Rattus norvegicus: one gene and its partners. The protein of the gene in region 3 purifies or fractionates together with the protein of the main gene of each other region. This does not show direct contact. Links are inferred from orthologs where the notes say so. Each region holds a gene or a part of one and is shown on either strand. Other genes may lie near its edges.

Region 1 (4,032 bases), on a different chromosome or scaffold from region 3:
GAACCACAAACATGAGAGACACAGGACAAGTATACTATGCCATCTATCCAGCAAAGGAAGGGCCTGAGACATTCACATCCACAGAGGCCACAGGATTCTTGGTGGCTGAAGAGAGAGGCTGGGGGTACAGGGACTCAGGATGCTGAGACATTACTTGGTATTAATGATGGTGGCCCAAAAGGCCACTGTCCTGTCAGCTTTCCAGGGATATATGCAGGTTCCATGATTCTGCTTCAATAAAGCCAGAAGAGAACTGCCAGCAGCCCACAGGGGCAGCTCAACCTACTGAGTAGGGGGTCTATCCTCCTAGGATCCCCTGTGTGACCCATTCACCTCCAAGGATAAATAACGAAAAGCAATGTTTTTGGTGGCTGAGGACACTGGGTGTGCAAAGGATTTTTTCCACTTTCCAATTTTGCTCACTTTCTGCCCACAGATACAGGTCTTCCTAATACAGGATTGAAGGCCCTCCCTCCCTCCTTCCCATTCTCCCTTCCTCCCTTCCTCCATCTCTTCCCTCCTCCCTCCCTCCCTCCCTCCCTCCCTTATGATGAGAGGCCACAGGTGGGCGGCAGCTCATGGCTCAATCTATGGTTTCAACTGGCGGAGCAGGGCACACCCATGTGAGCACACGCATAGCACAAGTCTGCTTTGTACATTAGCTAGAGCTAAAAGACCTTGAGATGAAGCACCCCACTTCCACTCCTGGTCTCCCCAGCTGTGCCATCACAGCCTGCTGCACAGTGCCCCTCTCCAGGCCCATAAGGCTGGAAGGAAGGAAGGAAGGAAGGAAGGAAGGAAGGAAGGAAGGAAGGAAGGAAGGTAGGTAAGTAGGTCTACCTAGTGGGGAAACTAACAGGAGGACTGGCCTTCTGGGCCACTTCACTCCTCCAGGCAACCTGCCCTCTCTCCACCTCCTTACGCTAAAGGTAAATAGCTAGAAACAACACGCAGGCACACCTGATCCTGCACCGCAGTAGGGGCTGACTCAGCCTTCTTCTCCTATTAGGGCTGAAAATGAGCCCAAGTGGGTGGTCTACCCACAAATATGACTCAACCAGCCAGCTCGAAGGCCCTCCCGGAACTCGGTCTGAGATCACTGCTGGAGACTGGTGGTGGCTCCCTAGCCCTAAGCACACACATGGACTGTAAGAACACCTGTGGCTCTAGTCGGCAGCTCCCCGGAGAATACAGGAAAACAAAGCCTAGAGGTGCCCAACACCAAGCCAGCCATTTGACAGGGAGGTAGGGATGGCCTGTCCCTAGCCTACACCGACAGTCTGTCATTCAAAACAAAAGCCCCTCCCCAGGGCACAGTCACCCGTGTGATACCCATTGTGGTTGCCTCTAAGGAACAAAACTCAAACCCAACTTTTCCAAGCAGAGCCTAGGAGTTACATAACACTGGTCTCAGCAACAGGCAACCCAGAAGGAAAAAACGAACCAGCAGCTGTCTCTCAGCCACCTTAACCAGCCACAAAGTGGGCTGTTTCCACCCGAGGCGCCAAAACCCTAGATTTGCTCCAGAGAGCCCCTCCACCAAACTTGAACCCTGGCTGGAGGCGTGGTGGATGGAAGTGGCAAGAGGGTGAGATGGGATGGTTGGACTAGCCAAATAGGTGACCCTGGAGGACAGTGTGGGTCCAGAGGATAGCACTAGGGCCAGAGAAACCTAGTGTAGGTCACCTTAGACCCACCTAGAAGGGGAGTGAGGGCAGTTCTGGCATAAGCCTTGAGCTGGAGCAGATTCTGTGCTATACAGGAGGAGGGACACTAATGCAGGTCACTGCCCAGTCTAGCTGGGTGGAGGAAAACAGGACAGGTAGCAGAGACTAGGTGCAGGTGGCTAGGACAAGAGGCAGGGAATTAGAGGAGATGGTATGTAGTAGGGACCTGAGGCAGATGGCAATGACTGTGGCAGGTAGACCTGGGAGAGGTATTGGAAAAGGTAGCTGAAGGTGGAAGCAGAGATCTGGGAAAGGGGTAAGTAAACGGGAACCAGGGTAGGGTAGCAGAGATCTAGGACAGGTAACAAGGACCCAAGGCAGGTGGCAGGTACCTGGGCAGTTAAACAGGAATCTAGGGTGGGTAACTAGAGATGGTCAATAGGGATTTTGTTTAAGGAGCCAGAGTAGGAAGCATACACCCAGGCTTATTAACTGGACCTGGGGCCGGTAGCTCGGACCAGCACAAACTCGGACCTGGCGCAGGTTCACAGGGGCCCAGGGCTGGTTAACTGAGACCTGGCGCCGCAGCTCCCGCTCCCGCCCGGTTTCCGGCGCCGCCATGCGCCGCTCAACTCACTTGCGCGTCGAGCTGGCCGGCCGCGCCGCCTGCACCCGCTCCGCCTGGGCCTCCCGCGCCGCCGGGGCCGCCGGGGGGCGTCTGCGTCTGGCTGGGTAGGGTGAAGTCGGTGAACTCGAACTCGGAGCCCTGGGTGTCGGCACCGAGCAGCTCGGCCTCCTCAGTGTCCAAGAAGGTGAGTGTCTGAGAGCTGGGGCCGTACGCCTCCACGCTCATCTTGCCGCCCGGGCCGCGCCTTCCGCCGGCGCCTCACCGCACTCGAGCCCGAGGCTTCGCCTAGGCCTAGGCCGTAACCCGGAGCAGCCGCTGCCGCCGCCCTGAGGACCGGGCGGGCTCCGAGCCGGCCTCTGGAAGCAGAGCCCGGACTCCGGCTCCGAGCTCTGAGTTGCCGCCGCCGCTGCCGCGCCCCTCCGCAACGCTGCTCGCCTCAAAGCCGACCGCCGCTCTCAGCCCCCTGGACAGGAACCGCCGCCGCCGCCACCGCTGCGGTGCGCGTGCGCGAGCCCGACGCCGGCGCAGGCGCGCGCGTCCCTCCCGGAAAGTAGCCAACCGCACCGGGGCACTAGGAGCAGAGCGGGAGGGCGGAATTCGTCGTGCGCCTGCGCGAAGAGGCGGGCCTTCAACTGCCTAAAGGACCTGGGCTCGCGAACTTGGCTCCGCCCCAACCGCTGCCTAGTGATGCGCATGCGGGGTTGCGACATCCTCACCGCCAGGCTTCTGGGCTGCATGTTCATTAGGTGCTAACTGAGGCTCTTTCCAGAAGGTCTTGGGTGTAGAAACTGTGGCACAGGGACCGCGCATCTGCCTTCCTTGAGCTCTAGTTACCCCGTCTGCCACTTGACTCGTGGCCATCTTTACTATTCATCGATTGAATGAGTAGAGAGCAGGGATTCTGCCAAATGGTAGTCACTGCTACCCCTGGCACTCCTGAAGCCTGTGAAGATAACTGCTTCTTTCTTTTATCTTGAGATCAAGTCCCACTGGTCCGGGCTAGCCTGGGAATCGCTGAGAAGGGGTCAGATCCTCTAGAACTAGTTACAGATGATTGTTAGCCCCTCTTGTAAGTGCTGGGAGCCAATTCTTTGCCTCTGAGCCATCTCTCTAGCCTGTTTTGAAAGAGGGCCTCATATAGTAACCCAGGCTGGTTTGGAACTCTGGGGAATCTTCCTGCCTCAAAGCCCCTGGTGGTGCGATGACTGTACATTCGATATTGTCCACAGAACCCAGAGCTTTTGTATGCTAGGCAAAGGCCACCAACTGATGAGCATCCACAGCCAGAATCGAGACTCAGAGGAACACACTCCTTCCTCCCTGTGCTACCTTCCCACTCTCAGTGGAGGATGTGTAAGTGTCGCAGCTCTGAAGGGAAAGGCCTTCCCCCACAGAAGTGGATCCGCTCTGCTTGGGCAGGGGAGGTTTCCCCAGAGAAAGTGTTTCACTGTGTTCCAAAAGGTATCCTGGCAATTGGGAGCCAAGGAATACAACAAAGTCACAGCACACAACAAACCTCATAGGAGATTTATTGGGAGGGGAAAACCCAGGAGGGTGGCTGCCTCTGCTGAGGTGGCTCTCCCAGTCAGTACAGGGCTGGATGTGGTGGCACGTGCCTTAAAATTCAAGCACTCAGGAGTCGGAGGCAGGGGGATTGCTAACTCTGAAGCCAGTCTTGTCTACAGAGCGATGTCCAGGACACCCAGCATTACATAATCTCAAAACACAAAAAAGATG
Region 2 (4,283 bases), on a different chromosome or scaffold from region 3:
TTTACAGCTCAAATGATCTACAGACCAAGGAGCACTGGCATCATTTGGAAGTCTGTAGACTCTCTGGCTTGTCCCAGTCATATACTTAAACAAGGTGCCAGGTGAATCCTATCCACATTCAAGTTTGAGAAACAAGGTCTGTTGCTTTCAGAAGTAGGCCATTCTTTTCATTATGTACCCTCATTTCAATAGCATCCACAGGCCCTTACTCCTTAGGGTCAAATGACCCTTTCACGGGGGTCACATAAGATGGAATGGAAAACACAGATATTTACAAAACAGCATCAAAATAAATTTAAGGTGTTTCAGCAAAGCATGAAGAACTATATTAAAAGGTCACAGCATTAGAAAGGTTGAGAACCTCTGCTCTAGGTTATCAGAACCATCCAGAAATCCTCACTTATATGCCCAATAATGTCAAGCTCTCTAGCTTTTAAGATGCTTCCATTTGAACAGACAGTCTATATTCGCTACTTAGTAACATAGCATTCTGTCTATGGCCCTTAGCATACATTATCTCTATAAATTAGGTACGGGCTGGAGAGATGGCTCAGCGGTTAAGAGCACCCGACTGCTCTTCCAGAGGTCATGAGTTCAATTCCCAGCAACCACATGGTGGCTCACAACCATCTGTAAAGAGATCCAGTGCCCTCTTCTTGTGTATCTGAAGACAACTACAGTTCACTTATATATAATAAATGAATAAATCTTTAAAAAATAGTTTATAAATTAGGTACTACAGTAGTATCCCAAAAATTAAGTTTGTCATACATATATATGGATAGAACTATGAGGATCCACTAGGGTACTTTCATTTTGCAAGTATGAGGCTTATTTTAATGTAAAAACTATGGAAATTCTAGGATAAATTCATATTAAGCTAAAAGTGCTGAAAAGAATTATGACAACTGAAAAACATGCTTAAAGATAATTCAAAGACTCATTTTAGGGAGAAAAATGGTATAAAATTTAATAAGGAGCAGAAATAATGTTAGTCAAACTATGATTATATCAGACTCAGAGCTTGAGCTCAGAAAGATTAACCCAAGGAGGGAAGCCTGTTATGTTACAGCCAGATCACACGATTCCCAGAAAACACTAAAGAGAGGCAAGTTGGGAACTAAAGATTAAAATGATCTAAATTAGATCATTTAAAGAGGCCACCTTTTAAGAGACCACCATGGGGCCAGGCTGGCGTCTATAATTCTAAGAGACCACCATGGGGCATGCATATATATATATATATATACATATATATATATACATACATATATATATACATATATATATACATACATATATATATACATATATATATGTATATATATATAGTTTAGAGGTCTGACCCATAATTGCTACAGCGATAAATAAGAGAGCAGAGCAAACATTTACCAAAATGGAAGAGAAAAATCAATGTTCACTTCCACATGGCAACTGAATAAACAACACTGACATTTGCTAAAACGCAAGTTTGGGAGTGGGGTTCGGATTCAGAGGTCAACTAGTAAAAGCCTTGCCTCCGAGGTGTGCATATATGAAATCCCAGCACTTGGCATGGAAAGAGGACTAGGAGTACAAAGTCAGCCTGCACTAAACATCGATATCCAATACACAAGTGTGCCCTGCATATATCTGGAAAGATACCGTCTACTTATTTAACTTACTTGTTTAGATATTTCTTTCCCCCTATTAGAATGCAAAGGTCTTTTCCATTCAAAAACCATGTATGAACTAGACTCAAAAAAACTTTAAAGATTCTGTTAATGTGTATTTATTTAGAACAGACCACTCAATAAACATTATGCTTGCTGGCTTGGTGATGCACACCTTTAATTATGCAGCACTGGGGTGGCATAAGTGGGCAGATCTGTTGTTAAAGGCCAACCTGGTTTACAGAGCAAGTTCAGCACACCAAGGCTACATAGAGAAATCCTGTCTCGAGGAAAACAAAACAGACAACAACAAAACACGATGCTTCCTATACTACTTCAAGATACAAACCAAACTGACAATCCCTTGATGAGATTAGCCAAATACTTCTCTACAGGGTCTTCCTTTCAAGGACGTTAAGTCTTAAAGAACTTTTAGTCAACAGAAAATTCAGAGCAGAAAGGGAGAAGAAAAGACGAGCATGTGACTCACTTTAAATGCTTATACTAGTAGCTAAACTACTTTTTTCCTCAAAGATCCACAGTGTTTTACTGCTTTTGTTGGCTGCTCCAGGGAATGAACTTAAAAATGACAGTAAGTATTCTAAATGAATGATATCCCCTAATAAAGTCAACTTCGGCTGGAATCTGAATTTAGCATTCACCCCCAGTTCAGTTCTCACGTCCTTAAACAGAGCATGCATCGGCTGCAGCAGTGATGGCTTGAACCATCCGGCGACCGGACACCCCGTTACAGGGGCTCGGCAGACGTTACATCTAGCTCCAGCAAACGCCAGGGAAGAGTTAAGAGTCGGCGAGAGCACCGAGCAAACGCGTCCCTACTTGACCTTCATACCTCTTGTCTCTCAGCCTCCTTGTTCTTCTGCGTTTGCTTTTTTGCGTACCATAGGCCTATCTCGCGACCCTTAAGGTGGGCCGGATGCCGGCCCCGGCCGCCGCGGCCCCCTCCGCCGCCGCCGGAGCCCCGGCTCCCTCCACCGCCGCCGCCAGAGCCCTGGCCGGAGCCCCGTGGGCCCCCGTCGCGGCTCCAGCTCTGATGATAGTCGTAGCTCATTGTCCGAGACGACTACAGGTACCACCAAAACTCAACCGCTGAAAATGGCGCCCAGGACCGGAAGCGGGCGCACATTACCCTCAGCTTTGCTTCCGGCGCCCAGCGCGAGAGGGCGGGCCGTTGAGTGTCACAAGCAGACATTTCCGGTGACGTCACGAACGGCGCCAGAAAGTGTGACCTGCGGTGAAGTTTTTTGTCCGCGTTCTGGTCGGAAGCTTAGGTCCCCTGTGGGATCCGGTCTTTGGGACGGCATGGGTTTTCACCCAGCTTGAGAAAATGTGGAAATTTGAGTGAATTTTAACTACTTTGTTAAAACCTAGAATTTGTTTGCAAGGTCATGGATAGTAAGAACATAGCAAACAAAAGAATCGACCATTGTGTACTCTCCTCAAAGACCAAAGAAGTTCGTATTTCTTAGAAACCGCCTGGCACCTCTTTCACTCAAATCAGTATATACACCGAAATGTCTTCTTTAAAGAGGCTTTAATACTGGGACTGGAGAGATGGCTCAGCTGTTAAGAGCACTGACTGCTCTTCCTAGGGGTCCTGAGTGCAATTCCTAGCAACCACATAGTGACTCACAACCATCCGTAATCAAATCCCATACCTTCCTTTGGTGTTTGTGAAGACTGCTACAGTGCACTCATATACATAAAAAAAATCTTAAAATTTATCTATCTATCATCTATTTATTTATTTATTATGGGAACTTGGGTGTCAGCTCAGTTGATAAGAGTACTTGCATGGCATGATTTCAATCCCAAACAGTATAAATGGTATTGTTCTGCAGGCCTGTAATCTCAGCAAACAGCAGATGGAAGCAGAGGAAACAGAATGTCATCCTTAGCTGTATAATGAATTTGAGGCCAGCATAGGTTATCTGTGTCTAATCTGGAGGTTTCTCAGAAAATTGGAAATGGTTCTACCTGAAGACCCAGCTATACCACTCTTGGGCATATACCCAAAAGATGCAGATACCACAAGGACACATGCTCCATTATGTTCATACCAGCCTTATTTGTAATTGTCAGAAGCTGGAAACAGCCCAGATGTCCCTCAACTGAAGAATGAATACAGAAAATGTTGTTCATTTACTCAATGGAATACTATTCAGCTATTAAAAATGAAGACATCATGAATTTTGCATGCAAATGGATGGAACTAGAAAATATCATCCTGAGCATCGAAATAACCCAGACCCAAATGGACATGCATGGTATGTACTCACTAAATGGATATTAGCCAAAAAGTATAGAATACCTAGGATACAACCCACAGAACTTAAGTTTAACAAGCAGAAAAGCTCAAGTGAGTATGCTTCAATCCCACTTGGGAGGGAGAAGAAAATCTTGGGAGGCAAAGGGAGAGAGACACCTGGGAGAGAGGAGGGGGGTAAGGGGGAACAGGATCAGGTATCAGGGAGTGGGAGGGACAGGAGAGGAGCCCAGAGGACCAGGAGAATGAATGGAAATATTCAGCCTCAGGGGTGGGAGTTGGGGGGACCCTATAGAAAGTACCAGAGATCCAGGAGATGAGAGACTCTCAAGACTCAATGAAGG
Region 3 (3,500 bases):
CTGGGATTTGAACTCAGGACCTCTGGAAGAGCAGTCAGTGCTCTTAATTGCTGAGCCATCTCCACACACTCCCTCCCTCCCTCCCTCCCTCCTCTTCCCCTCCCCCCTCCCTCTCCCTCTCTACCTCCCTGTCCCTTCTCTTAAGCTCACTCCCTGTCCACAGTCCACAGGTTCCTAGCTTGGCTTTAAGGCCCATCCTCACTGTTTAGCTCTTGTTTACATAGTAAACAGGAAGCTCTTGGGGTTAGTTAAAGGCGCTTGCTAGGGCTGAACCTCAACACAAGAAACAGCTTTCTCCAGTTCACAACCTCAGGGTTCCCAATGTGATCCAAATATCCTGCAACATTGTAGATGATCCTCCAGTTAACAACTTGAAAAGCTGAAGGGAACACAAATAGATCACAGCTGTGAAGTACAGCTTGCGGGCGGGCGAGATGAGACTGCCTCAGTCTTCTGTGAGGGAAGTGCTCTTAACTCCTGAGCCATCCCTTCAGCCCTGTTTACCTGTTTATTCATTCATTTTTTTTCTTCTTTTTTTCGGAGCTGGGGATTGAACCCAGGGCCTTCAAGCGCTCTACCGCTGAGCTAAATCCCCAACCCCTATTCATTCATTTTTAAGTCAAGGTTTCACTCTTTGCTCCTGCCTGACCTTGAACTGGCGGAGGTTCATCGTTTGCCTGTCTCCTGAGTCCTAGCATCATAAGCTTGTACCACCTAACCTGGCTAAAGAATGATCTTTTTGTTTTGTTTTGCCTTTTTGTTTTTTTGACACAGGGTTTCTCTGGATAGCCTTGGCTGTCTTGTTACTCCCTCTGTAGACCTCAAACTCAAGAATCCTGCCTCTGGGGGCTGGAGAGATGGCTCAGCGGTTAAGAGCACTGACTGCTCTTCCAGAGGTCCTGAGTTCAATTCCCAGCAACCACATGGTGGCTCACAACCATCTGTAATTAGATCTGATGCCCTCTTCTGGTGTGTCTGAAGACAGCTACAGTGTACTCATAATAAATAAATAAATCTTTAAAAAAAAAAAAAAAAAAAAAAGAATCCTGCCTCTGCCTCCTGAGTGCTGGGATTAAAGGCATGTGTGACCATGTCAGGCTAAGAAAAAAATTTTAAAGCCAAATTATATTATCTCTTCAGAGGCTAAGAGGTTCTAAGCCTCATAGCAAACTGCAGAGGGTAGCCAATTGAAGCTCCAGTCCTGTGGATCCCCAACATACCATCTCACCTCATCACACACAGATCTGCATTATAACCTTTGCTTCTTTTTTTTTTTTCTTTTCTATTTTTCGGAGCTGGGGACCGAACCCAGGGCCTTGCGATTGCTAGGCAAGTGCTCTACCACTGAGCTAAATCCCCAACCCCATAACCTTTGCTTCTAATGTCCTTGTGACCAGTGCCACACTTCACAATGGTTAGTCTCACAGCTTACGTTACCTTTGGCAATGGGATCTCAGTGGCAGTCGAGTGGCGCTCCCCTCCTGGCCGTACCTGTCTCCTTTGGATCTTCGTTTCTGCATGCTCTTCCCCTTTGGCCGTCGCTCACTCCCAATACAGAACACGCCACCAGGGCCAGTGACGCGGATGGACTCTAGACCCTTGGCAGACTTCTTAAAGGTGAACTCCACTGCCTCACCCTCCTTGAGGCTTCGGAAACCTTCCATGTGCAGCTTGCTCTACCAGATGGAAAGGCGAGATTTTACTATTTGCCTTCATTACTGAGCCAAAAAACAGAACTGCAAACCTATGACGTGTCCCTGTGAGACAGGAAGAAAAGTGACAGAACTCCTATCTCACAGATGAGAGACCCCAACGCCATCCGAGCCCAGTGTGGCAGCACACGCCTGTCACCCCAGAGTGAGGCCAGAGTGGACCACACGAGGAGACCTATCTCAAACGACAAAACAGAACCCCTCTCCACCATAAGTGAACCGTCCCTTCTTAGGAAATACACATGAAAAGATTTAGAAACATACTGAACGCTGTATTTACAGTCACTAAGATGATAAAACTGGCCATGTTTGGTGGTACAACCCTTTCATCCCAGTACTTGGGAGACAAAGGCAGATGGATCTCTTAGAGTGAGGCCAGTCTGACATTTACACACACACACACACACACACACACACACACACACACACACACACACACAGATGCATTTCAGGCCAACATAGTGAGAACCCTCCTGAACCAGCCACTCCAAAAAACAAATAAAACCGAACAGAAATAAAAAAAATACAATAACCAGGGCAAAATCTGGGGAAGAACTGAGAAATTTTGTCTATTCCTATAATCTTTTAAGTTTGAAATCATAAAGACAGTGTTTCTGAAAATTGAAGTCAGTTTCATGATAAGGATTAAAATGGAAGAGATTCCAGGAATCCTCTGGTGTATCTGAAGACAGTTATACAGTGTACTCATATGCATAAAATAAGTAATTTTTTAAAAGATTTATTTTATGTGAGTACACTGTATATTGAGGGCATCAGATCTCAATACAGATGGTTGTGAGCCACCATGTGGTTCCTGGGACTTGAACTCAGGACCTCTAGGAAGAGCAGTTAGTGTTCGTAACCACTGAACCATCTCTCCAGCCCCAATAGACAATTCTTAAAAGAAAAAAAAAGGGGGGGGGGGTTGGGGATTTAGCTCAGTGGTAGAGCGCTTGCCTAGGAAGCACAAGGCCCTGGGTTCGGTCCCCAGCTCTGAATATAAGAACCAAAAAAAAAAAAAAAGAAAGAAAGAAAAAAATGTCAGACAGACAAACCTACAAAGAGCTACTGCCCACTTGGAGGAAAAGTGCACAAATAAGCCTCTGCCCACCCTGCAATCCCAGCATTCAGGGAGCCTGGACAGAAAGCACCAGCTGGGGCTGCAGGCCAGCCTGGGCTACATAGTAGCCTCAAGGCCAGAACACTTAGAATGGCAGATCTACTTTAAAAGTTATATTAAAGGGCTGGCAGGATGGCGCAGTGGGTACTCAGTTGCTGCCAAGGCTGAAAACTCAAGTTTAGCTTCTGGGATGCACATGAGGGAAGGACAGACTCCCCCTAGCTGTCCTCTGATTTCCACATGCACACTGCGGCATGTGCCCCTCCCCCCAAATTTAAAAAGCATGAAAAAAAAAATCAACAAATTTATTTATTTATTTATTTATTGGTTCTTTTTTTCGAAGCTGGGGACTGAACCCAGGGCCTTGCGCTTCCTAGGCAAGCGCTCTGCCACTGAGCCAAATCCCCAACCCCAACAAATTTATTTTTTATGCCACACTTTGGTACCTCTTTTTTGGCACATTTTTGGGATGAATTAATGAAGTATGGGTTTGGATTTGTGCCCTCTTTTTTTGCTTGTTTTTAGAGACAGGGTTTCTCTGTAATCTTAGCTGTCCTCACTCTGCAGACCACGCTGACCTAAACTCTCAAACAGAGACCCACCTGGCTCTGCCTCCCAAGTGCTGGGATTAAAGGTTTTGACACCACTGCCCTGTAGGTTTTGAGTTT
Region 4 (4,224 bases), on a different chromosome or scaffold from region 3:
CCTCATTGTCTGAAATTTCGGTGCATAAAGGGGCAACTATTCATTTCCCTGTGCTGTTCACTTCATAAAATTTTAACCACACAGGATAGAAATAATGTTGGAATGAAATAAGCATGACAAAAGAAGTTTGAGGTTGGTGGTCTTTTTAATTAACTATATAATCAAAAGTATATCATTTTAATTCTATAACACTGTATCCTGGTTAATATCTCTTAACATGTCCGTGATACCAAGATGCTTTAATTTCTCCAAAGATATCTTGTGAAGCTTTGTTATGTTTTACCTTTGCCTAATTTTTTTTTTCTGAAAATACTCATAATTCATGAACTTTCACCAGACACTATGGTAGAGGCTATGATTACAAAACTGAATAAATAGTGGTCTTTCCTGAAGCCCAAAACCAAACTGATAAATCAAACTAAAACTTCTCTAACAGACTACATCTGTGTCTATAAATAAGCAGGTTCAAGTTTACATTTCCACTGAAAAGTATCTGTCATTTACAGACCAAGAACCTAACATGAAAAATGAAACTATATTCACCTTTTAAAAATATTTATACTTCTGAACATGTATAAATTCGGGGATCCACAGGAAGGTCATTGAACAACTACTAGTAGTCCATTCTCTCCTTTCCCCTACTTAAGGCTCGGTCTCTCTTATTTCTACCTCTGTGTAAACTTCTGGCCCATTCTGCAGTCTCCTGCTCCCATTTCACCATAGGAGTACGTAGTTACCATTGTTTTAACCACGGTGAGCTTTACTTGTCTCTCTTTGCTCAGGGCAGGTTCTGTGGATGGAACTCAGGTTGTTTGGCTTATACAACAGATGCTTTACAAGATGAGCTGCATCCCAGGAGCTAACTTATGTATGTTCTGCACCTGGGAGGTAAGGTGGATTGGAAGAAGAAAAGCTGATCTTGGTATAGACCTAAACGAGTTTATCTATACATACTATTTATAAGAATGTAAAGTTAAAACAGAAACAATGATTTAAATGTAGTCAGACACATGCATACTTTTCTGTAGTAAATATTTTTGAACAAAGTAAGAAAAGTTGTACACTTACCCTTTACTTTTAGAAACTAAACCAAGAGATTGACTTAGTCGGTGAATAAAAGCTCTTTCCGTACTGGTCAGAGAAGAAGGAAATTCCATTTCTACATAGGAAAAAAGGTTCCACTTATAGACAATTACAGGTATAAAAATGAAAAATACATATAAGTATAAATCAAATTACACATTTTATATGAAAAATGTATTTACTCAGTAACTCACACCTAATAGGATTCTGATACTAACTATTAATATTTATTTACTTAATTGTGAGAGAGAGAGAGAGTGTGTGTGTGTGTGTGTGTGTGTGAGAGAGAGAGAGAGAGAGAGAGAGAGAGAGAGAACCATATATGTGCACTGACCACAGGTCAGAAGAAGCATCAGATCCCCTGAAGCTGACTTGATGGTTTTGAGCCATCATCGGGTGCTGAGAATCAAACCTGGGACTTCTGCAAGAGGAACTACTGAGCCATCTCTTCAGCCCAGAATTCTGATATTATGAAGTTACACATACAACCTAAATATGATAAAGGACTTGAAAGTTCATCAAAGATTACTACCTGTGTTGAGATCGATATAACTATGGACATATTTTATCAATTTAAATTATTCTTGCCTTGCTTAACAAAATTCTATTTCCTTCAATAATGAGGTATGTTCATTCAAGCATTAAGAATTCTCAAACTGAAACTCCCATGTTTCTGTTCTCAAAACTGTAGAGGGCTCTTCCTCAATATTTCAGACTGGATTTGTTGTGACATTTTGCCAAGGCTTTGCTGCTGTTAAAAATATATGTTCAAAACCTTTTCAGACAATAAGCCTCAGCAGCAAGGGTCTACTAGCTATCCCAGCAAATTAAAATGAGCATTCAACAGTAAACTCAGTTGTATATTATGAGGCCTGTACTAAATAGGTATCTGACCTGATAAAGTACAAAACACACAAGTTTGTGTTTGATTTGATGCATCTAGAATTTCAATAAAGTCTATAAATACAATAAATTCAAAGCCTCCTCTGAAGTTTTTTAAGCTTAAAATAAGGCTACACCTCAATAATGAGGAAGACAGTGGGGGCTTAATAACTCCTTAAAAAAAATAACGTTGACTTAGCAGCCTTGGGTTGCAGAAAAGTACCTGAGGACATTTTCCCACCTGGGAGTAACCTAGCCTTTCCACCTTCTGATGCCTTAACTTCTGATTCTCTATCCTCCCTAAACTCACCGACCCACTGGGCTTCCCACTCGGTGACCAACAGTCACTAGACGGCGCTGGTTTCGCCTCTGCGGCCCGGCTCTGGGTTCCTCTGCCCATCAGGGGCGGGCCTGGGGGCGGGTGTCAGCCCGCAAGGTCCCCCGTCAGAATCCTCACCTCTCTGGTCACCGTATCGGAAGCGCTCCAGAGCAATGTTGACAGCGATCTTCACCTCCTCGTCGATACGAATGTCTTTGAGGCCTTTGGCCCGGCCACCGCTTCCAGGACCACACGAAGCCGGGCCGCCGCCACCGCCTCCGGTGCCGCCTCCGCTAGGAGCTGGCGGACGCGGCGAGACGCTGCTCGGCCTGGACATGGCCCTGAGGAGAAGCTCGCTCCGCGTGGGAGCGGCCAGGCCTGCTGCCAGCGAGCAGTGACAGAGACAGAGAGCCCGTGGGAGCGCGGCGGACCTACCGCTAGAAAGTCAACGCCGGGAGAGACTAGCGGGAAAGCGTCACTCACAGTAGCGGTGAAAGCGAAAGCGCTGGCACCACTACAGCCCAGAGAAGCCTTGGGTGCGCGGGTGATGACGTCAAGAGTGAGCGCCGCGCACGGCCCCAGAACGCGGGACCTCTGACTATGCTGGAGCAGCCCCGGGGGATGCGGTCCCTGGAGGCTGTAATGCGGTCCTCACGACCCTGAGGCTTTGGTTGTCAAAAAATATCATTAAATTGGAGGACATATTATTCGGTTATCCACTGGATCATTTAATGCTTCATTCCTTTCTTCAGAGCGGGCTTCTGCCCAGCGCTTGATTCACAAACTCGAACACTCTGGAAACAAGGGTTTTACCGCAATTCTGAGGTTCGTGGTCCAGTGGGTCAAATAAGTACAGTGAGTAGACCACTTGGTTTGATTTTAAGTAACGACTAACTTCTTAATGTATGTCTTTCATTCTGAAACACATTGAAAACTTGGTTACCTGAAATAAAGATCTAACTGTGTTTTACCTCGAAACCCTAAAAAGTGGTAACAGTCCTTAAACGTTAAAAGAAAAATGCTTATATGATAGTTATTAAAGTGTTCACTGTTTTAGGTAACAGCCCATCGTGAGTGTGGAACGCATAGCAATGAGAATAGTTATGTTTTGTGGCAAGATTAAGTTTAAGGAGGAACTTATCAAGAGTTGCGGGAGGAGGGGGGGGGGTTGGGGACAGAAGGTGGCAAATGCCTTTAATCCCAGAACTTGGGAGGCAGAGGTAGGTGAATCTCTTAAGTTTGATGCCAGCCCTGTCTACAGAGTGAGTTCTAGAATAGCCAAGGCTATAAGAGAAACCCTGTCTCAAAAAACAAACAAAAAAGGAGTTGGGAAGATTATGAGAATTGCCATTGGTTCAAATAGAGTCCTATGAACATAAATCTAATTCCAATGACCTGAATTGCTTCCACTGTAGTGCCACTATTGTCACTCTCCGAAGAGCAACAGACATGATTGTTTCCTTTTTTCAAAATGAGAACCAGAGTGTACTAAGATGCCCTCATATGCAGCCTTCCAGTTTCTCTCCTCTGCAACTAGAACAAACCATAAATTTCTCAATATCAAGAGCACTCAAGATCTTCTAGGATACCTACACTCACGGTGATGCTAACACTTACCCTCACACTGCTCAGATACACTTAATTTTGTTGTTTGGTTTTTGTCTTGCATGGTTTTTGTCTTGGAGAAGGCAGTCTTCCTCTGAGAATTCCTCTGTACCATAGTTTAAAACATAATTGTGGCCCTTACACAGGCATGCTTTCAAATCTTGTGTTATCATTTGCAACATTTGAAAGTATCTTATTTTCTCTTGCAAAAGTTATAAACTACTAAGAAAATGAATGTTATCTTGAATTGTCCTCATTCCTTCACACGAGTAATTTTCTCTCATGTAGCCTGGTCTACAGAGCAAGTCCCAGGACAGCCATGGCTATACAGAGTA
Region 5 (4,022 bases), on a different chromosome or scaffold from region 3:
AACCTGAGCTACACTAAAAGACCTTGTCATCAGGCAGTGACACACCTTTAATCTCAGCACTTGGGTGACAGAGCCGTATAGATCTCAAGTTCAAGGCTAGCCTGGTCTATACATCAAGTTTCAGGGGTACAGAGTGAGACCCTAGTTTAAAAAGAAAACAACCACAACAAATCCTGACTGATGGGGCTGCACATCTACATGGCTCAGTGGTTAGGAATTCTTGCTGCTGTTGCACGGGACGGGAGTTTGGATCCCAGCACCCACACTGAGTAGCTCACAACCAACTCCAACTCCAGGAGATAGGGCTCACATGCACACATAAACCGAAATGAAATAAATGAAAAACAGAGTGTAACATAAAAATTGACCAAATTTGTTGAAATACTAATATTTTATACATACTGGTCAAATACATTAATTTCACCTATTTCTTTTTTACTTTTTAAATGCAGCTCCTAAAAATGTAAAACTATACCTGTGGCTCACTTTACATCACAAACTGGGCAGTGCTAGTCTAGAAATACACATACTCACCCATTAACAACACCCACTGGAGTTATCGAATTGGGAGAATAATTATAATATTTTGGTCTCTTTATATCTCTGTATCATTTAGCATTTTGCTATTCCTCATTTAGACAATGAAAAGTATAAGCATATTAACTATGAAACGTCAATTAAGTAAAACATTTCTTGCTAAACAAAACGAATCCTAACCACGGTTAGTCACCATGAACGTGAACAGTGGTGTCCCTGGATATAACATGTAAGAATTGCTGTGTGAAGTACAGTTGAGGGTTGGGGATTTAGCTCAGTGGTAGAGCGCTTGCCTAGCAAGCACAAGGCCCTGGGTTCGGTCCCCAGCTCTGAAAAAAAAAAAAGAAAAGAAAAAAAAAAAAAAAAGTACAGTTGAGGAGATAAGCAGTGAAAACATTTCTACCCTCAAGGATTTTTACTCAGCAGTGAAGTTTTTTACCCTGAGCCCTACATAGTGGAAGGAAGAGAAAGGTCTCCCTAACATCCTCTGACCTTCATACATGCCTTGGCACACAATAAAAATAAATATACTGGGGCTGGAGAGATGGCTCAGTGGTTAGGAGCACTGACTGCTCTTCCAGAGGTCCTGAGTTCAATTCCCAGCAACCACATGGTGGCTCACAACCATCTGAAATAAAGTCTGATAGCCTTTTCTGGTGTGCCTGAAGACAGCTATCCATATACATTAAATAAAAAGTCTTCTTTTAAAAAAAAAAAAATAAATAGGGCTGGAGAGATGGCTCAGTGGTTGGGAGCAGTGACTGTTCTCCCAGAGGTCCTGATTTCAAATCCCAGCAACCACATGGTGGCTCACAACCATCTGTAATGGGACCTGATGCCCTCTTTTGGTGTGTCTGAAGACAGCTACAGTGTACTCATATATAGTAAATAAATAATTTAAAAATAAATAAATAAATAAATAAATATGCTTTGTTGAGCATGACACAAACCTTTAACCACAGCACTTGAAAGGCAATGGCAGATTGACCTCTGTGAACTTGAAGTCAGCCTGGTCTACATATGGAAACCTTGTCTCAAAAAAATTTTTTTTCAAAGACATACGAACATTACCACACATGTTTTTAGGGGGACTCTGCCCAAGAAGAGTCTATAAAAAAGGCACAAAGGGTACGAGAGATGACCCATCGTCCAGAAATACCAGCTGCTGTCACCAGAGCTGTAAGTAAGAAGTCCTGAATGTGCCCCGCCTACTGCCCCACAAAGCCGGTAACCAATCTCCTACCTCCTTGTGAGCAGCTGAGTTGGATTCCCAAAAGCGCTGCACTTTGCTGAAGGTGACGTTTGTACAGTCAGACAAGCCACTCAGAAATGTGCCCGAGGACTTCTCAGTGAAAGCCACCTCCGGGTCTTGGTCCATGGTCGTCTCAGGGGCTTGGCTTTTGCCCAGGCTCAAGGTCCCAGACTGCAGCTCATTATGCAACTTCACGGCATCAACTGTCAGGTCGCTCTTCCCTGAGAACCAGATTAACAAGGTAATGTCCCCATTTCCACCCAAGCTTCCTCTGATTGAAGGAACCGAACCCCTAAGAAACAAACCAGAGGGCTTAGACCCCAGTCCCAGCGGCTGGATTCCCAACCCGGCTTGCCTGCACAGCCTTGTGCACTCTTGCAACTTTTGAAGCCAAGAGAAAGGAACCCCCAAGATCTGTTTCTGCTTCCCTCCACTTCAGGCACTGAGACATCCAGAGCCGGGGTCGCATACTGTACAGAGACATCCTAAGGCTGAAGATGTGGGTTAGTAGTTGAGTGTTTAGTTAGAGTGCACAAGGTCGTGGGTTCTCTCCCTTACACTCCCTCAACACATACATAAATCTAAAGAGCCACCCAAGGGTAGTGACAATTATGTATCTCAACCCTGAGGCCGCGGTATCCTAGACAAGTCACTTCCCTTTAGAGGACAGTTTCCGCATCTGTCAAACTCGAGGGGCGGGTCTTCGATGTGAGCCCCAAGGCTGACATTCTAATGTGGCAGGCCGAATGCCACGAGACAAGGAATCCCACGGCCGGGCTACCTGATGGGCGGCTGAAGAAGCGGCTGCGAGCGGCCTGGCGATGGCGGCAAGTGGTGGGGTTGCTGTCGCTGCTGTGGCCTTTCTTCCAGCGCTTCAGCTTGGCCGAGACACCAGATGGCAATTTCCCCGAGCGACCCATGTTGACCAAACGGTGGCTCGGACTTGCTCAGAGAACACGCGAACAACCACGCCGAAGAGACAGCAGAACTCACAGCAGAACCCACGTGTGTATTCTCAGCCGGCTCCGCGTCCTCTTCCTCTGATGTCACTTCCTGTCTCCAGCTTGTTACCACGGCAAAAACAATCAACATCCGGTCTGAAGCTCCCTGATTGCTCTGAGTTCTTACACAGAAAAGAGTGCTGGCGTTTCGGTTGCTTTGGGCTCCTGCTGCACCGTCAAGGTTTATGGTCGTGGAGAAAGCCTTATACAACGGGAATTTCTTTGGAATTAAAAAGACAAATTTATATTACTCTCAAAAAATCGGTTGTTCAAGCGGAGCGTGGTGTCGGCACGCCTGTAATCCCAGCAAACTTGAGGATTGTCATGAGTTTAAAGCCAGCCTACTCTCTACGCTGCGAAATGCAAGAGCCTGTCTAAACACAAAAATAACAAAATAAATACATGTGTAATCCCAGCACCTAGGCAACAGAGGTAGGTTGATCTCTGTGATTTCAACGCAAGCCTAGTCTATATATTGATATAGTGAACTCCAAGACATTCAGGACTACACAATGAGAACCTGTCTCAAAAAAAAAAAAAAAAAAAAAAACAGAACGAACAAACAAACAAAAAACATAATAAAGTTAATGGAAAAAAACCCAAACCCAAAAGTCAAAAACTATGGAGGTATAAAAATGAAAACATCTTGGCCTCACCTCTCTAGAGAAAAAAGCAACAAGTAGTGCCCTACTCTTGCTTTGCAAACTGAAACCACAAGGAATATCCGTCCAAAAGACACAACTGAAGGAGCAGCTGGCAAGGACACAGCCCTACTGTCCCTACTGTCTCCATGTGCTGCTGTTGGAGTGAAAGGTTTACATGGGCACTTTGGAAAACGGCTAGTACTATTTTCTTAAAGATTTATTTCTTAAATTATGTGTACACCTGTGAGATGGTATGATTTCCGGTGCCCGTGGAGGCCAGAAGCATCAGATACCCTGGGGCTGGAGCTACAGGCAGTTACGAGCTGTCTGGTGCGCTGCCAGAAACCGATTTCAGGTCTTCTCCAAGAGCAGTATCTTTAAAAAAAAAAAAAAAAGATTTGTTTATTTTATGTAGGTAAGTACACTGTTACTCTTTTCAGACACACCAGAAGAGGGCATCGGATCCCCATACAGATGGTTGACAGACACTATGTGGTTGCTGGGATTTGAACTCAGGACCTCTGGAAGAGCAGTCAGTGCTCTTTTTTTTTTTTTTCTTTTTTCTTTTTTTCGGAGCTGGGGACAGAA
Region 6 (3,500 bases), on a different chromosome or scaffold from region 3:
GAGACACAAAAGTGTCCTCTAGACTTTCCATCCCTTTGCCGGCATCGTATCTAGAGAGGAAGAGGAAATATAGAGGGAGTTATTCTGTGCGCATGTGTGTGTAAGCCCGAGAAGACCCAGGCTGTAGTTCTTCAGACACAGTCTCTCTCTTACTGGCCTGAGCTTGCCCAGTTGGCTAGGCTGGCTGATTTTCCTGTCTCTCCTTCCCCAGAGCCGATGGCACAGGTGCATGCCCCCCATCTAGCTTTTTCTTTTCTTTTCTCCTTCCTTCCCTCCTCTCGACCTCACTCCCTCCCTCTTTCTTTCCCTTTTATTGAGACATGGTTTCTGTGTGTAGCCTTGGCTGTCCTGGAACTTGCTTTATAGACCAGGGTGGCCTCGAACTTACAGAGATCCACTTGCCTCTGCCTCCCAAGTGCTGGGATCAAAGGTGTGTGCCACCACTGCCCAGCTCTTCCTTCCTTTCTTAAGTATGGGTTCTGGGGATTGAACACAGTTCCTGCAAATACTTTACTGAGTTACTTTTAAGAATGTCAAGACTAGGGCTGGAGAGATGGCTCAGCGGTTAAGAGCACCCGACTGCTCTTCCAGAGGTCATGAGTTCAATTCCCAGCAACCACATGGTGGCTCACAACCATCTGTAAGGAGATCTGATGCCCTCTTCTGGTGTATCTGAAGACAGCTATAGTATATATAATAAATAAATTTATAAAAAAAAAAAAAAAAAAAAAAAAAAAGAATGTCAAGACTATTGGGCACGGACAAGTGGTCTTCCTTATGTAAGACAGCCACCCTACTCAGGATCTACAGTCTGGTTTATTGTAGGACTGTGGGGTAACTAGTGCCGTGATGATTTAGGTCCATCAGACACCACACACATTTTCTTTAGCCATTTTCTTCTCATCGAAGCACAAGAAAAATCACATGGGAAAATGAATCCATTATTGGTGATTCTGCATGCTTGTTTGACTTGCACATTCCTCACGCTGGCCATGGAACCATATACAATGTTCCTTTAAAGAGTACCTTGGCAGGAACCATTAACAGCTGTGCTATCCTACAGGAGGTTAGTCCCTCTGTCACTTCACCACAAAAGAATACCTCTTTTCTTTCATCTTCCCAGAATCGATGACATACACGACGTCATCAATGGTTATGGAAGTCTCAGCAATGTTGGTGGAAATTATAATCTTAGTCACACCTAGTGGGGGTTTCACAAACACCGCCTGCTGCTCTTCACTGGATAACGACGAGTGCAGTGGGTGAATGACACACCTAAAAGGAAGTGAAGCACAGTAAGGAGTCTGCACCAAGCACTGAAACTGACCTGCAGGTAAATGTCTACTGAAGTTAACTGAATGACCAAGAGTTATGGCGGTTTAGCTATGCTTGGCCCCTGGGAAGTGGCACTATTAGGAGGCGTGCCCTTATTGGAGGAAGTGTAGCCTTTTTAGAAGAAGTCTGTCACTGTGGAAGCCGGGCTTTGAGTCTCCTTTGTATACTTAAGACTGCCAATGTGGGGGAGGCCCCTCTCCTCCTGCTGCCTTTGGATGACAATGTAGAACCCTCACTCAGCTCCTTCCCCAGCACCAACTTTGTCTGTACACCGCCATGCTTCCTGCCATGCTGATAATGGGCTGAGTCTCTGAACCTGTGAGCCAGCCCCAGTAAAATGTTGTCCCTCATAAGTTGCCTTGGTCATGGTGTCTCTTCTCAACAATGGAAACCCTAAGACAGCGTCTGACACTTTTAAGCACTGCCCTCAAGGCCCAGCTCTTAGAGGTGAGAGGCTCCTTCTGTTCTCACAAAATACAACCTTCCAGAAACACAAACCTTGTGCTAACCTGGGAAAAGTTCTGGGATTATTCAGGAGTAAACCACCAAGATTGATTGATACTTTATAAGTAACACACCTAAAAAAAACTGACCAGCAAAGAATAATCTTTTGCCTTAAGTCCAGGTGGGTAGGGGTGGGAGGGCAAAGTGTGACGCAGCTAGGATATTCATTGTATGTGACAGCATACCCAGTGACTGGCGGAAAATTGTTTTCTCTCAAAATGGCAGCATTTCTTTGTTATTATTAATGCTGGCTTTCCCCAGCCTGCTGCCCTCCTCAGGAATCTGGCAACTGAAACTGCATGCAGATTTGCTGAGTCACTATGATAAGTGAAGAGAAAAGTCTGCCCTTGACGGAATGGAGTAACATTTTCTGGAGCACAAAGGCATCCCATTTCAAGCTGGCATAAACAAACAATGTTTGAGAGGTGACACGACAGTCTAAGGAGGGTGAGGACCACAGGGAGCCTTCAGCTCTTCATCTTTGGAGGTGGCTGCAGTGATATCTATGGATAGAAAGCGAGTGGCTTACCGATGACTTCGTCTGTTGTTGAAGAGAGAGTTAGACTGTAGCTGTTCATAAAGCATCTTGATTTCCGCTAGCCCTGGTAAAAACACAAGTATAGCACCTGGGAATAAAAAATTAATAAATAAATAAACAAACAAGGAAAACTAATGTAGATCACAAGACCGTTTTAAAACCAATAACTGATAACTTTACACTATCAGTTTTTCTTTGTAAAGCCTTATTAGTTAAACAAATATGAAATCACACTTTTGTATATACTCTGATTTAATAAGGAAAAAATAGTATTACCTTTTTCCAATAGAAAACTGAGGTATAGAAGAGCATGCTTTGAGTTATACAAGAAGCACTCACCGAGCACACTCTGTGTGTGTGTGTGTGTGTGTGTGTGTGTGTGTGTGTACAGAAACATCTGAGAACTGAAGCAAATGCCTTGCACACATCAGACCCACCTAAGCTCTCCAGTATTCTTAGTATCCTGACCACTGATACCTGTTTCTACTGTAGAAAAGTAACCTTGTAGACCAGAAGATTCCTTTGTTAATGAGATCCAGACATTTTACTGGATACGATACAAACAAACAAACAAACAAACAAAGAAGTCTGATCGGTTAAGTTTAGACACATTTGAAAGAGCTAGTAAATTAACTAGTCACGTCTTACTAACCACTGATGGCCTTTAGCATGTCCACTAAAGACAATCAGCAACAACAGGAGGTCGTAGCGTGTTTCTGTCCTGGCAGCAGTCCCTTCCCAGGTACTTCTGTGGCTGAGACCGCATCTCACCTGGTAGTTCAGGTGGTCTTGAGACTCAGTCTTGAGCTCAGGTATTGAGTCTCCTGCCTCAGTGGCCCAAGTACTGGGGCTACTTGAGCCTCCACACCCAGCTTTCTCTTGTGCTTCATTCATGGAAGAGGCAGGTCACCTCCTCACTAATGTGTCCCTCAGCCTCACACAGGTAAGCAGATGCCCATGCCAGCCGTGCAGCATGGATATTAAACACATCTCCGGAACTCAGTACCTACAGTCATGGCTTTCTCTCCCCATGAAACTAGGAAGGAGTCCAAATCATCACAAAAATAGAGGAGGGCCAAAGAGCACAGAGATTTTTTTCCTCACACACATTACCTTATTTGGC
Region 7 (3,599 bases), on a different chromosome or scaffold from region 3:
AAAAAAAATCAAAGCAACACAACCCAAGCCAACAAATCCCATGTGGTAGAGTATAAATCATTAAAATCTACTGAATTCTCTTCAAATGGTGGTTACTATTAAGGCTGTCCCCACAAAACCACTGTTAGCTAAGTGAACTCAGAGATCCACCTGTGTTTTGCCTCCTGAGTACTGGATTAAGGCATGTGCCACCACCAGGAAAGGGACCCTGTCTTTAAAAAAAAAAAAAGAATGGAAGATTACTAGGGACCAAGTCCATTGTGTGATATACAGTGCCAACTTGTTTCAAAACACACATACAAATAGTTTTTTAGAACTCATGATGTGTGGTCCATTGAGATAGCTCAGTGGGTAAAGGCACTTGTCAAACAAGCAGGATGATCTCAGTTAGATCCCTGGAACACAAAAAGGTGGAAAGAGAATACTGACTACACAGAATTGTCCTCTGACCTCCACACACACACATACAATTAGAAGAAAAAGAAACCATGACATTATGTAAAGTCAACATCCACTTTATTTTTTATTTTTTCGGAGCTGGGGACTGAACCCAGGGCCTTGCACTTGCTAGGCAAGCGCTCTACCACTGAGCTAAATCCCCAACCCCCCACTTTATTGTTTGAATGTTACTCTCCATTCCTGTCTAGTAGTTTATTTTTCAGATCTCGAAACAATTCATTATACTGCAGAGAGGCGAGGGGCTGGTATGACCCAATGTCATCAAAAGACAAGTGTTCAACTTTCCTGGACCTCCAAGAAGATCCCTGCTCTATTGTAGGTTTAAGTCAGCCAAAAAAGTCAGTCTTGTTGAGGCAATGGGTCCCTCACTGAAGATGTTAGTCCTGGAAGGCTTCTCCTTCTACGAGCTGCCAGTTCAATTTTCTGAACCAGGCTCACATCCCAGGGATGGGTCACAAAACTGGTAACAGTCCCCGGCACTTCACTGCCCACTCGACCCACCCTTCCTGCTCTGTGGATGTAATCCTGCAGAGTAGGGGGAAAATCATAATTGACAACCATTTCCACGTGGATGCTGTCTAGGCCTCGTGAGGCAATGTCTGTGCAGACAAGTATGTTTTGGGAGCCCTTCTGGAAACTCTGGAAGATACCTGCCCTCATTGAGGCTGGCATTTGCCCTTGCAGCCTTAAATGTTGGATTTTGTGGTCATCCAGAATGTACCCAAGCCAGTTCACGGTGCTGGCGCTGTTGCAGAATACCAGGACAGTTCCCGAGGGTTCTGCCTTATTTGCTTTGTCATGCTGTTTGAGGATCTGAATCAGTTCTGTCACCTTCTCTGTTCCCTTTAGTCTCATAAATGTCTGTCTGACATGAGGCATGATGCAGTGGAGCTTGGAGCTGGTGATGGTGGTCAGACTGTCTGGGCTGGTGACTTTACTCAGCAATTGGTTTAGGCCTTCTGGAAATGTGGCTCCCACCATCACTAACTGAGCTTTGGGATTAAAGGGGTCTTCTAACTCAGCTGGACTTTCTGCTATAGGGCTCTTTCCCAAGATGTAGTCCACCAGTTCCACGAAGCTTTCATCTAGCAGCGTGTCTACTTCATCCAGCACTATGAAGTTAAGATGATGTAAGCTGATCAGTTGACTTTTCAGAGCCTTCCACAGCGCCCCTGGAGTAGCCACTAGCACATCTGCTGACGGCCATTTACCCAGCTGAAGTTTGAGCCTATTCATTCCCAGGCCTCCGCCAAGTTCTATAACCTGCAGGTCCAAGTACCTACCCAATGACTGGGCCACTGCCTGCACCTGTTCGGCTAATTCTCGGGAAGGTACCAGAACCAAGCCTCGAGGAGCGGTGGAACTGCGGGAGTCCAGCTCTGGCCCTTTTAGGAGCCGTTGAAATAGGGGCAGTAGATAGCTAAGCGTCTTGCCGCTACCGGTTTCAGCAGCGCAAAGGATGTGGCGGCCGCGAAGCAGTGGGGGAATGGTTTTCGACTGCACGGAGGTTGGCTGAACAATTTCGGGGACAGCCTTCTGAAGCGCGAGCAGTACTCGGGGTTCTAGACCCAGGTCCACGAAGTTGCCCCGGGACGAGAGGTTCCTCATGGCGGGCGCCTCTTGCTGCACTCGCTCTATGGAAAAATGGTCCTGACGCGATCGCCGATGCTTCCAGCCACGCGAAGCCAGTGGTGCCCGCTCCCAACGGCCCAGCGTGAGGCGTGCGGGCTGGTTCAACTCTGGCCGCTTTGCCGAGACCAGGAGTGGACCAGGTTGCACTAGCACCGGCCGTTGGAAACTCCCACGGTCGCTCCGTCGCTGTTCCTGCCGTCGCTGCAGAGCCCGCGGAATGCGCACAACAGGCAAGGACTGGTCGGAACCGCGCAACACTATGTTCCGTCGAGGTTCCAGAAGCAACCGGACTGCTAATGATAATAGCCGCGTTGGCCCGGCTAAAGCCATATTTCTCTTGATGCAGAAGAGGCGCATGGTAGTGACGTCACGTACGCGACTGTAGTCTGAAATACGGTGGCTGGCGCAGATCAGTGTCACGTGTGGCTCTGCAGTACCGTCTGGAAGGAGGGAGGATCCTTAAGAGTTCAGTGGCTGTGAGGTCTGTAGGTTTCCATCCGGCAGGGCGATGTCCAGACTGGGGTCATCTTTGGGGACGGGTACTCGGTGGAAGAAGGAGTGGGAGTCCGCAATAGGAGGGGGACATGGGTCCCTGGCTCAAGGAATCGAGTGAGGATGGCCTCTGTCAACTGAGTGCTTAATTTCTGATATCTTACCTGTGGTCGTCATTGCCCCGACCTGTTATTCCATAGAACTTCAAGGGTACAAAGTACGACGATGTAGATATGCGCATCGCTCAAAACCTCGGTGATGCAAGTTTCCCGAGAGTCTGAATGAATGATAGGCCTGGGGACTGAAGCAAAAGTTGGAAGTCTGGGTCCAGGCTCAGCCCTGTTCTCTAGAACCCAGAGTGCATGCTGGTGGTCTTCAACATATTTCGTCTATGAAGGGAGAGAGATGGTCTCAGTTCTTTCAGGTGTAGTTTCTCATTTTTTACACTTCTTTTCCAGGCAAGTTTCACTCTCCATTCCTTGTCACCCCTTCATGATTTTTCATTCTCCATTCCTTGTCACCCCTTCATGATTCTCAGACTGGACTCAACCACTCTTAGAGTCTGCTCATATCCCACTGGCTTCTCAGGCAGATTCTAAATTGCCTGACTAGAAGTAGAAAGAAGAAAGGGTCCCGTTACCCTTATGAAGTGATGAAAGCTTATTTCACATAGTGCTGATCAAGCAGACTACTTGACTTGAATAGTGGTTCAGGTTATTAAATTTTTATTTATTTATTTATTTTACTTCATACTTCTTGAACACATCTGAAAAAAATATGGGCGTCAGATGTCAAGTGTCTGGAGTGGGAGATAAGGTCAATGTTTGTGGACTGAATACTTAGGAGGTTCCTAACATCTGGAGAAAGTGTTTTAATTTCATTCACTAGGTGGACATCTGTGGATTTTTCCACTGTAAAATGAAAATATTCATGAAAAATTGTGTCTGTACTAAATATGTATATGCATTTTTCTTTGAACTTACTCCCTAACAATACAGTATACCAAGTATTTACAT

Evidence for each region.
Region 1: the proteins of Lin28a (region 3) and Upf1 purify together in Homo sapiens (affinity purification with mass spectrometry; 3 studies listed by BioGRID and IntAct, with this or other methods). This does not show direct contact. The link is inferred for Rattus norvegicus from reciprocal best matches to the Homo sapiens genes LIN28A and UPF1.
Region 2: the proteins of Lin28a (region 3) and Dhx36 purify together in Homo sapiens (affinity purification with mass spectrometry; 3 studies listed by BioGRID and IntAct, with this or other methods). This does not show direct contact. The link is inferred for Rattus norvegicus from reciprocal best matches to the Homo sapiens genes LIN28A and DHX36.
Region 4: the proteins of Lin28a (region 3) and Ythdc2 purify together in Homo sapiens (co-immunoprecipitation; 3 studies listed by BioGRID and IntAct, with this or other methods). This does not show direct contact. The link is inferred for Rattus norvegicus from reciprocal best matches to the Homo sapiens genes LIN28A and YTHDC2.
Region 5: the proteins of Lin28a (region 3) and Rrp12 purify together in Homo sapiens (affinity purification with mass spectrometry; 3 studies listed by BioGRID and IntAct, with this or other methods). This does not show direct contact. The link is inferred for Rattus norvegicus from reciprocal best matches to the Homo sapiens genes LIN28A and RRP12.
Region 6: the proteins of Lin28a (region 3) and Dhx57 purify together in Homo sapiens (affinity purification with mass spectrometry; 3 studies listed by BioGRID and IntAct, with this or other methods). This does not show direct contact. The link is inferred for Rattus norvegicus from reciprocal best matches to the Homo sapiens genes LIN28A and DHX57.
Region 7: the proteins of Lin28a (region 3) and Ddx28 purify together in Homo sapiens (co-immunoprecipitation; 3 studies listed by BioGRID and IntAct, with this or other methods). This does not show direct contact. The link is inferred for Rattus norvegicus from reciprocal best matches to the Homo sapiens genes LIN28A and DDX28.

Annotation. Positions count from the first base shown.
Region 1 is NC_086034.1:19,109,306-19,113,337, reverse strand, and holds the start of Upf1 (UPF1, RNA helicase and ATPase), read right to left. Parts: upstream 2,801-4,032; 5' UTR 2,521-2,800; coding exon 2,305-2,520; intron 1-2,304. UniProt on the Homo sapiens protein: RNA-dependent helicase required for nonsense-mediated decay (NMD) of aberrant mRNAs containing premature stop codons and modulates the expression level of normal mRNAs.
Region 2 is NC_086020.1:149,041,392-149,045,674, forward strand, and holds the start of Dhx36 (ATP-dependent DNA/RNA helicase DHX36), read right to left. Parts: upstream 2,801-4,283; 5' UTR 2,725-2,800; coding exon 2,506-2,724; intron 1-2,505.
Region 3 is NC_086023.1:151,514,385-151,517,884, forward strand, and holds part of Lin28a (protein lin-28 homolog A), read right to left. Parts: intron 1,677-3,500; coding exon 1,492-1,676; intron 1-1,491. UniProt on the Homo sapiens protein: RNA-binding protein that inhibits processing of pre-let-7 miRNAs and regulates translation of mRNAs that control developmental timing, pluripotency and metabolism.
Region 4 is NC_086036.1:37,515,862-37,520,085, reverse strand, and holds the start of Ythdc2 (probable ATP-dependent RNA helicase YTHDC2), read right to left. Parts: upstream 2,801-4,224; 5' UTR 2,622-2,800; coding exon 2,423-2,621; intron 1,160-2,422; coding exon 1,069-1,159; intron 1-1,068. UniProt on the Homo sapiens protein: 3'-5' RNA helicase that plays a key role in the male and female germline by promoting transition from mitotic to meiotic divisions in stem cells.
Region 5 is NC_086019.1:250,652,519-250,656,540, forward strand, and holds the start of Rrp12 (RRP12-like protein), read right to left. Parts: upstream 2,801-4,022; 5' UTR 2,710-2,800; coding exon 2,571-2,709; intron 2,011-2,570; coding exon 1,781-2,010; intron 1-1,780.
Region 6 is NC_086024.1:20,509,299-20,512,798, reverse strand, and holds part of Dhx57 (putative ATP-dependent RNA helicase DHX57), read right to left. Parts: intron 2,466-3,500; coding exon 2,369-2,465; intron 1,276-2,368; coding exon 1,102-1,275; intron 51-1,101; coding exon 1-50. UniProt on the Homo sapiens protein: Probable ATP-binding RNA helicase.
Region 7 is NC_086037.1:50,819,143-50,822,741, forward strand, and holds Ddx28 (probable ATP-dependent RNA helicase DDX28), read right to left. Parts: upstream 2,432-3,599; 5' UTR 2,422-2,431; coding exon 799-2,421; 3' UTR 501-798; downstream 1-500. UniProt on the Homo sapiens protein: Plays an essential role in facilitating the proper assembly of the mitochondrial large ribosomal subunit and its helicase activity is essential for this function. May be involved in RNA processing or transport. Has RNA and Mg(2+)-dependent ATPase activity.